2 linked regions of the Sus scrofa genome follow. The protein of the gene in region 1 purifies or fractionates together with the protein of each later gene. This does not show direct contact. Links are inferred from orthologs where the notes say so. Each region holds a gene or a part of one and is shown in the gene's direction. Other genes may lie near its edges. The genes, in order: DHX38 and PPP4R3A.

Region 1 (4,265 bases):
AATTAAAAGATGTATTTTAGGAGTTCCCACTGTGGCACAGCGGAAATGAATCCAACTAGCATCCATGAGGATGTGGATTTGATCCCTGGCCTCTCTCAGTGGGGTGGGGGGGAATCTGGCCTTGCGTCAGCTCTGGTGTAGGCCAGCAGCTGTAGCTCTGATTTGACTCCTACCCTGAGAACTTCCATATGCTGTGGGTGTGGCCACAAAAAGTAGAAAAAAAAAAGTTATATTTTAAAAAGCCATTAAACTGGCAAAGATTAAATGATAAAGGCAAGAATGTCAGTGAAGGGACAGGCTTCATAGTCCCCCCTAGAAAACAGAGAACAAACCTTGTCTAGAAAGAAACCTGAAATACAACTCCATTTCTGAGAATTATTTCCTAGTAAATAACCAGACATACGCAGAAAGATTTATGTAAAAAGGATATTTGTCACGTTTTTAACAGTGAAAAACTGGAAACAACTTACACTGCCATCGGTAGGAGAATCGTGAAATGAAGGATGGCAGTCCTGTAACATACTAACACACTGTCACTACATATTGCGTTATAGATTAACAATTCAGATACGTGAAAAATCCTCGTAATAAAGAAAAAAGTCATAAAACAGTAGTATACAAAGGGTGATTCCGCTTTTGTACAAAACCTAACTATAATGCAAATATACATATTCACATAGGAAATAACTAAAAATGAATATCCTCAAACACCCTCAGTGGTTTTCACTGCGTGTGAACTTACGAGTGACTTTTACTCACACTGGGGTGCACGTCTTCATTTTTCCAATATCCCCGACATACCTATTTTTTATGATGCCAGTGGCTGGACTACTCCTGGCCCACAAGTGCCGGGGAAAAATGATACTTTATTTGCACGTCATCTTCCTCGCCAGCACTTCAAGGCTTTCGGCAACCCTGACACTTTCTCCAAAAAGCCGCGACGCCGGCGACTCCTTTCTTCTTCCGCAACCGCGGCGGCGACCCTAAACCAGAGTAACCCAGGGGCTGTTGCCAAATAACTCTCGGCCGACCTCTTAAGTGGACGGAAACGGAAAAAGAAAACGCACAAACGCAGTGATTAACGCGCGGTCTGTTCAGTTCAGCAGCCCAATAAGCGGAAGGGCCTATTCTACTCACGGCCAATCTTCCCCGCTGCGACCGGAAGCCTTAGGGTCACTTCCGCCCTTGTTAAACATGGCCGATCCCACCCCGCATTCCAATTAGGGGGCTGCCCAACTCTTAGACTAACCGTGATTGGTCGCCAAGAGACTCGGAAGTGTCTGTAATAAATGTCTTATCCCAGCCTCAGCGGAGGACCGTCTAGTCCAACAAGCGTGGTCCCCTTCCGCCCCGCACTAGGAACTCGCGTTTTCCGGGCTGATCTCGATGGTATCTTTGGACGGATAGAGGGGACCGCGCAAAGTATTATGGGACAACGATGGCCGCTTTCAAGGTGCGGGTTTTGGCTTTCTGAGACGTTCTGAGCGAGGAGTGGCTGCGCCAGCGCCCCAGAATCCGGGACAGAAGGTCTCGAGAGTCGGGCGTGGTGAGGTGAGTGTCCCTTCTTCCTTTCCGACCTTTTCTTACCCAGTCGTGGTGGCTCCAGGCAGCGGATATTGGTCCCTCTTTCGGGTTTGGGCCTAGACTTGGGAATCCTTGTCTTTGTCAGCCAGTGTGCCTTATTCGCTGTAGGGATATTGCGCAGGACAGCCTGCCGCGGCCTTCCTCTTTATTCTGATCAGATCCTGCATTTTGGTGCGTCCCCGCTGAGGTCCAGGGATGCTGCCCTGGGCGTCACCTGCTCCCTTCCTTAGGCCTCCGCATTAGCCCACTCCCAGACGGACTCCGAACCCAGTAGGGGTTCTTTGGGCTTCCTCTTCTCTGTCACAGTGGTATCTCTATCAGGCGATATCCTCTGCTAGAATGTCAACTCCAAGAAGGTCTGGACTTTTGTCTCTTCTCTTCTCTATCTCTAATGCCCAGAACAACGACTGGCTCACAGAAAGCTGTCAGTGAATAATTATTGAATGAATATATTCAGTTTCTTTCTTCACTATTTTCCTTATACCTCTTGTGGCTTCTTTACCATTAATACTTATTCGCAAAACAGCAGTTAACTCCTCAGCCACTCGTTGTCCTGTCAAACTCTTTTTCCTGTGCTCCTAGTACCTGTCCTTGCTGTCTTTAGGAATTTCTGGCTCCCTATCTCCTTTAATCAGTTTAAACTTGTTCATTCATTAATTCTTCACATGGTTCTGTTGTAGGCACTGGGCGTAGTAGTCATTAAGACAGACAAGGTTCTCCTGCATAAAATGACATACTAGGGGTATTTTTTCTAGTTCAGACTACTGAGCAGAGTCTGTATGTCCTACCTTCCTGGATTTGCTCACATGAGTACAGATATCACCAGTAGGTAGCTTTCCCTTTTCCCTTCTACCTAATGGCATTTTTTTTAAAATTTTTTTTGTCTTTTTGTCTTTTTGTTGTTGTTGTTGTTGCTATTTCTTGGGCCGCTCCCGCGGCATATGGAAGTTCCCAGGCTAGGGGTCCAATCGGAGCTGTAGCCACCGGCCTACGACAGGGCCACAGCAACGCGGGATCTGAGCCGCATCTGCAACCTACACCACAGCTCACGGCAACGCCGGATCGTTAACCCACTGAGCAAGGGCAGGGATCGAACCCGCAACCTCATGGTTCCTAGTCGGATTCGTTAACCACTGCGCCACGACGGGAACTCCCCTAATGGCATTTTTAAAAAAGGAAATTCTTGTTTCTTTGACCATACTATGTGTTGTCTGTTTGGCAATATTCTTCTAGAAAGCTCTGCATGTTAATTAAAGCTGGGCACAACAGTCTGGATTCTGGTGGTACCCTAGCACTTGATAGTTCTTTGCTTCACTGACTTGTTGGAATGAGGGAAGTTAGTCAAGCATTCAGAATATTTATAAGTAGATGGTGTATAGTGGGAAGAAAAAGAGGAGTTTGTTACAAGTTGAGTGCCAGGAAATCTTACAGTTACCTAAATACTTTTTCAGAAGTACCATTCCCAAGCCTGATGCTTCTCATCAACATTTTTGGAGAACATGAATTGTCATTAGACAGATTTCAACTGCCGTGAGGTAATTCTTTTCTACTGAACTTACCTGGCCCAGAAAATGCGTTTAAGTATAGACTGCATGGATAGTAGCCTTATCAACATCTCTGCTCCGCTGTAGCTGTAGTTTAAAAGAAGGGAGAGGAGGAAGAACTTACGTAGAAAAAACGATGAGGGATCCAATCAGTGTCTAGGAGCACAGCAAGTGAAATAATGTAACAGCCACATTTCTGTAACTCTTTATGGTTACAGAGTGCTTTTACTAAACTTTCTTGTTTGATTCTCACAACAACTCCAAGGATCAGATAGAGCAAAAAGTATTTTCACTTTGCAGATATAGAAGTTATGCCTAGGAGTTCATGCTTTGGTGCAGTGGGATCTGCAGTGGCAGGGGAGCAGGTTGGATCCCTGGCCCATCACAGTGAGTTAAGGATCTGGCGTTGCTGCAGCTGTGGAGTAATTTATGACTCTGGCTTGGAGTCGATCCTGGCCTGGGAACTCCATATCCCATGGGGCTCTCCCCCCCATAAGTGGGGGAGGAAATTATGCCTAACTGAAAGTTAAGTTATTTGCTTACAATCACACAGGCAGAAAATGTCAAGGGCCTGGATAGTAGAGATTTCTGATGTTAAATCTAGTGGTGTTATCCTTATACTCCCTTTTGAGATACCACCATGCTCTAGTAAGTATCTCTTAGTGAGGTCTGTTCTTGCCTGGATGCTGCCCTCTTGGATCCAGGTGTGTCTGTGTGTGCGTGCAAGTATCTATTTCGGATGTGTGTTGGGGTGGGATTAGGAAGATCTTTTGAGATTGTCAGTGACTTGATGGACAGGTCTTGGTTAAGAGGTAATTAAAGGAATTTTGGTCCTGGAGAAGAGGTCAACGCACCAAATATGCATGTGGCTACAGTTACTCTGGGATATAGCACAGTCAAGCCTTTCCTCTTCTTATGTCTAATGCCAAATGGTTTGTTTTCCTTTCAGAAATCTCAGAGCCTGTCATGGAGGACACCATCGAGGATGCCTCCCTCCACCGATTGGAAGGCACTGATGCCGACTCTCAGGTTGGCGGTCTTATCTGTAAAACCAAAAGTGCAGCTAGTGAGCAGCACGTCTTTAAGGCCCCTGCTCCCCGCCCGTCATTGCTGGGACTGGACTTGTTGGCTTCCCTG
Region 2 (3,821 bases), on another chromosome or scaffold:
AGTTTTACTCATTAAATACGAATAATTTCAAGTTACGTCTTTGTTTCCCTACAGTATGCTCTGTAAAATGCTGGCTGCCAGTTGTGTGGGTCTTTCTGTTTCTGTTGATGCAGAGTGTTTATATTCAAAATACTGTGAAAGAAGGAGAGTTTACAAATTTCTTTGATGAGAAGCAGTTCTTAACCCATCTTATACACAGTCATAACCCTTGCCCTTGACTGATTTCTATGTAACACTGTTAAAACAGTCTTGATTCTCTAAACTTTGTGGCAGTCTGGAGAATCATTTTTAGTCATTTGATTTCCATTTGGTGGGATATATTTTAGCTGGATCTTGACATTGGAGATGACATTTAAGGTATGGCCTATTTGTACATTAGGCCATAGAAAAGTAAAAGTGGGAATCACTAGCATCACAGAAAATGTTTCTTAAACACCCACGGCAGCGAATGTGGGGTTTATAAATCCGTGGAAGGTCTCACACACACATACACATATTTAGACTTCGGCGGCATGTCTGTAAGGCTGAAGTAGTATGGAATTAAAATATAATAAAATCTTAATTAAAAATAGTTATAGACAAAATTGAACAGGAAGTCAGAAATGGTTTAATGTAGAATAATACGTGTTAAGTTATTTTGTATTTGTTTTGTGTGTGTATCTTTAAATAATAGATGTTTCTTAATTCCAAAGTTCTGAATTTAGCTTTTTAACTATTGCTGTTTTTAAAATGTGAAGGAAGTTTTATCTTCCTTTGAGAGGTTGCAGAAGCCCAGTGAAAATGAGGGGTCTACCAACCGTGTTTGTTTTCTTTCATAAAGTAATACTCATTCATTGCCATATTGCCTGTGTCTGCTTCCTACTGTAACAACATAACAGAGTAGTTGTGGTAGAGACCATATGGCCCACAAAGCCCAAAATTTTTTAAATGTGGCCCTTAACTACCTTAGGAAATAGAGCCTTGCTGAAATATAAAGTATAATCTTTCTGTATAAATCCCCAGTTTATCCTTTAATAATTTTTTCCTTCTCTTTTAAAAAACAGCATTGCCAATACCATCTTTCCCTTTTCCAGTTATTGCAATTTATATCTTCTACAGTAACATCTTGAAAATGTATTTTATTATATACTCTTACTATTATTAGCATAATTAAAATCTATCCTTTGATTTCACAGGAAGATGAAAAATTTCTGACAGATTTGTTTGCACAATTAACAGATGAAGCAACAGATGAGGAAAAAAGACAGGAATTGGTAAGAAATTTGATATTATAAAGGCCATGAAGCTAAAACAATACAACCTATTATGTTCACTTAACCTTTTTCCTAATTTCAGGTTAACTTTTTAAAAGAATTTTGTGCGTTTTCCCAAACGCTACAACCTCAAAACAGAGATGCTTTTTTCAAGACTTTGTCAAACATGGGTATATTACCAGCTTTAGAAGTCATCCTTGTAAGTTTGTTTCTCCTTATATTTAATTACCATTATATTTTTAACCCACAAAATAGTATATTTTTATGTAACATGCAACTGTTTGATTATAGCTAATATTTAACATCAGCTGTGTATTACATAAAGTTAAATAGCTATAAAATTCTAGTATTAAGAGAGTCCTTACACAGTGCTAAAAGGACAATTACGGAATTTTCCATATTTTTAACAATTTAACTTTGCATCATATTAAAATGCTGGAGTTCCCGTCATGGTTCAGTGGTTAACAAATCCGACTAGGAACCATGAGGTTGTGGGTTCAGTCCCTGGCCTTGCTCAGTGGGCTAAGGATCCAGCATTGCCGTGAGCTGTGGTGTAGGTCACAGATGTGGCTCGGATCCCACGTTGCTGTGGCTGTGGTGTAGACCAGCGGCTACAACTCCGATTAGACCCCTAGCCTGGGAACCTCCGTATGCCGCAGGTGCCGCCCTAGGAAAGACAAAAAGACAATAAATATATAAAATGCTAGAGGAGAAAAATAAACGGGAAAAAATGAAAGTATAACTTTATCCCATAGAACAGTAATTTTACATACAACATAATTTCCTTGACCTCTCCTTTTTATTGAAATATATTCTTATAATTTGTTAGGGTTTAGATTTATATAGCTGCAAGTTCCATATTTTTATTATTATAGAAGAAATAAGTGCTTTTTACCTGCAGGGCATGGATGATACACAGGTGCGAAGTGCTGCTACTGATATATTCTCATACTTGGTTGAATATAATCCATCCATGGTACGAGAGTTTGTCATGCAGGAGGCACAACAGAATGATGATGTAAGTAAGAAGTTAACAGAGCAAAAAATAACCAACAAGGTAAATATTATCTTCACTAACAGTAAGTATTTATACGTGGGGAGCTATAACTATATTTATTATTCATTTCTTAAAGATTTAGTCAGTGTTTGAGAAAAGTATACCCATGATATCATGACTTATTCTTCCCCTAAATTGGCTCCTGAGTTTATAAATTGTTTTACAGCAGTTATTTGTTAATGCTCAATTTCAATTTCTTTTAAAATTTTTGAAATTAAGTTTTTTAACTCTGAAGTTAACTTGCTATGTTATAATGTTTAAAACCATTTCATCAATAAATTGTTCTTCTGTATGTGGAATTATGAATAACTTCCCTAAGAAAGCATTGGCTTTGCTAGGGATAGAGGTCTCAAAATTATCAAGAATGATGAAGCATAGTCCTTTGGAAAGTATTTAGGATGCTTTCTTTACTGCCTGACCAACCATAGGGAAAACCATTTATTTTAAATGGAAACTTTATATCATTTCTGTAAAAGGAGAACAGATAAAGTTATCATTTGCCATAGAAGGAATCTATAAAAATGCAGTAAAAGAACAGTGTTATAAATTCTAGCTAGATAATCGTACTGTTAAAACTATGAAGCAAAGTCCCATTAGCTTTCTTCAGAAGAGAGATTTTATTATTAAGAGTTCTAAAAGATCTATTAGCACCAAACTGAAACTTTGTTTTTATTTTAATCCAGGGGATTTAAAGATAATAAAAAAAGAACTTTTTGGTACTATTTGTGTAATGTGTCTGTACCATACCTTTGGGAAACTACCATATATCCTATTAAAGATTCCAGTCAGTCATTTCATTTTGTTTGCAGTTAACAAGATAGCTAGAGCCAGGTATAATGCTATAGCATGTGTCATAGTATATGCTTTTTCCATCCTTACTCTTAGTAAGTGATCCTTATTATGTATATTTTTCCCACCAGGATATTTTGCTCATCAACCTCATTATAGAACATATGATTTGTGATACAGACCCTGAACTTGGAGGAGCAGTCCAACTTATGGGCCTGCTTCGAACCTTGGTTGACCCAGAAAACATGCTAGCTACTGCCAATGTAAGCCGTGGGCATTTTTCTCTTTTTCATACTCGTGTAATTTTGATTGCTGGTAGGAACCAATGCAGTTAAAGTTCATGAAGTGTTTTTGATTCCTTAGAAAACAGAAAAGACTGAATTTCTGGGTTTCTTCTACAAGCACTGTATGCATGTCCTTACTGCTCCATTACTGGCAAATACAACAGAAGACAAACCTAGCAAAGGTAAGATAATACAGGTTGGTAGTTAAATTCTTTGTTCTTAAACTTTGAAACTCAGAAGGTTGGTGTTAATATAGAGGTTTAGTAACATATTTTCAAAAGAGGTAATTTCAAGGTAAAATTTCTTTCAAAAGTGCTATAATCAGGAGTTCCCATTGTGGCTCAGTGGTTAAGAACCCAACTAGTATCCATGAGGCTGTGTCTTTGATCCCTGATGCAGCTTGGATATGGTGTTGCTGTGGCTATGGCATAAGGTGGC

Evidence for each region.
Region 2: the proteins of DHX38 (region 1) and PPP4R3A purify together in Homo sapiens (co-immunoprecipitation; 3 studies listed by BioGRID and IntAct, with this or other methods). This does not show direct contact. The link is inferred for Sus scrofa from reciprocal best matches to the Homo sapiens genes DHX38 and PPP4R3A.

Annotation. Positions count from the first base shown.
Region 1 is NC_010448.4:14,996,907-15,001,171, forward strand, and holds the start of DHX38 (pre-mRNA-splicing factor ATP-dependent RNA helicase PRP16), read left to right. Parts: upstream 1-1,184; 5' UTR 1,185-1,551; intron 1,552-3,035; exon of another isoform or gene 3,036-3,119; intron 3,120-4,077; 5' UTR 4,078-4,094; coding exon 4,095-4,265. UniProt on the Homo sapiens protein: Probable ATP-binding RNA helicase. Involved in pre-mRNA splicing as component of the spliceosome.
Region 2 is NC_010449.5:113,124,216-113,128,036, reverse strand, and holds part of PPP4R3A (serine/threonine-protein phosphatase 4 regulatory subunit 3A), read left to right. Parts: intron 1-1,175; coding exon 1,176-1,253; intron 1,254-1,335; coding exon 1,336-1,452; intron 1,453-2,154; coding exon 2,155-2,310; intron 2,311-3,230; coding exon 3,231-3,362; intron 3,363-3,462; coding exon 3,463-3,565; intron 3,566-3,821. UniProt on the Homo sapiens protein: Regulatory subunit of serine/threonine-protein phosphatase 4. May regulate the activity of PPP4C at centrosomal microtubule organizing centers.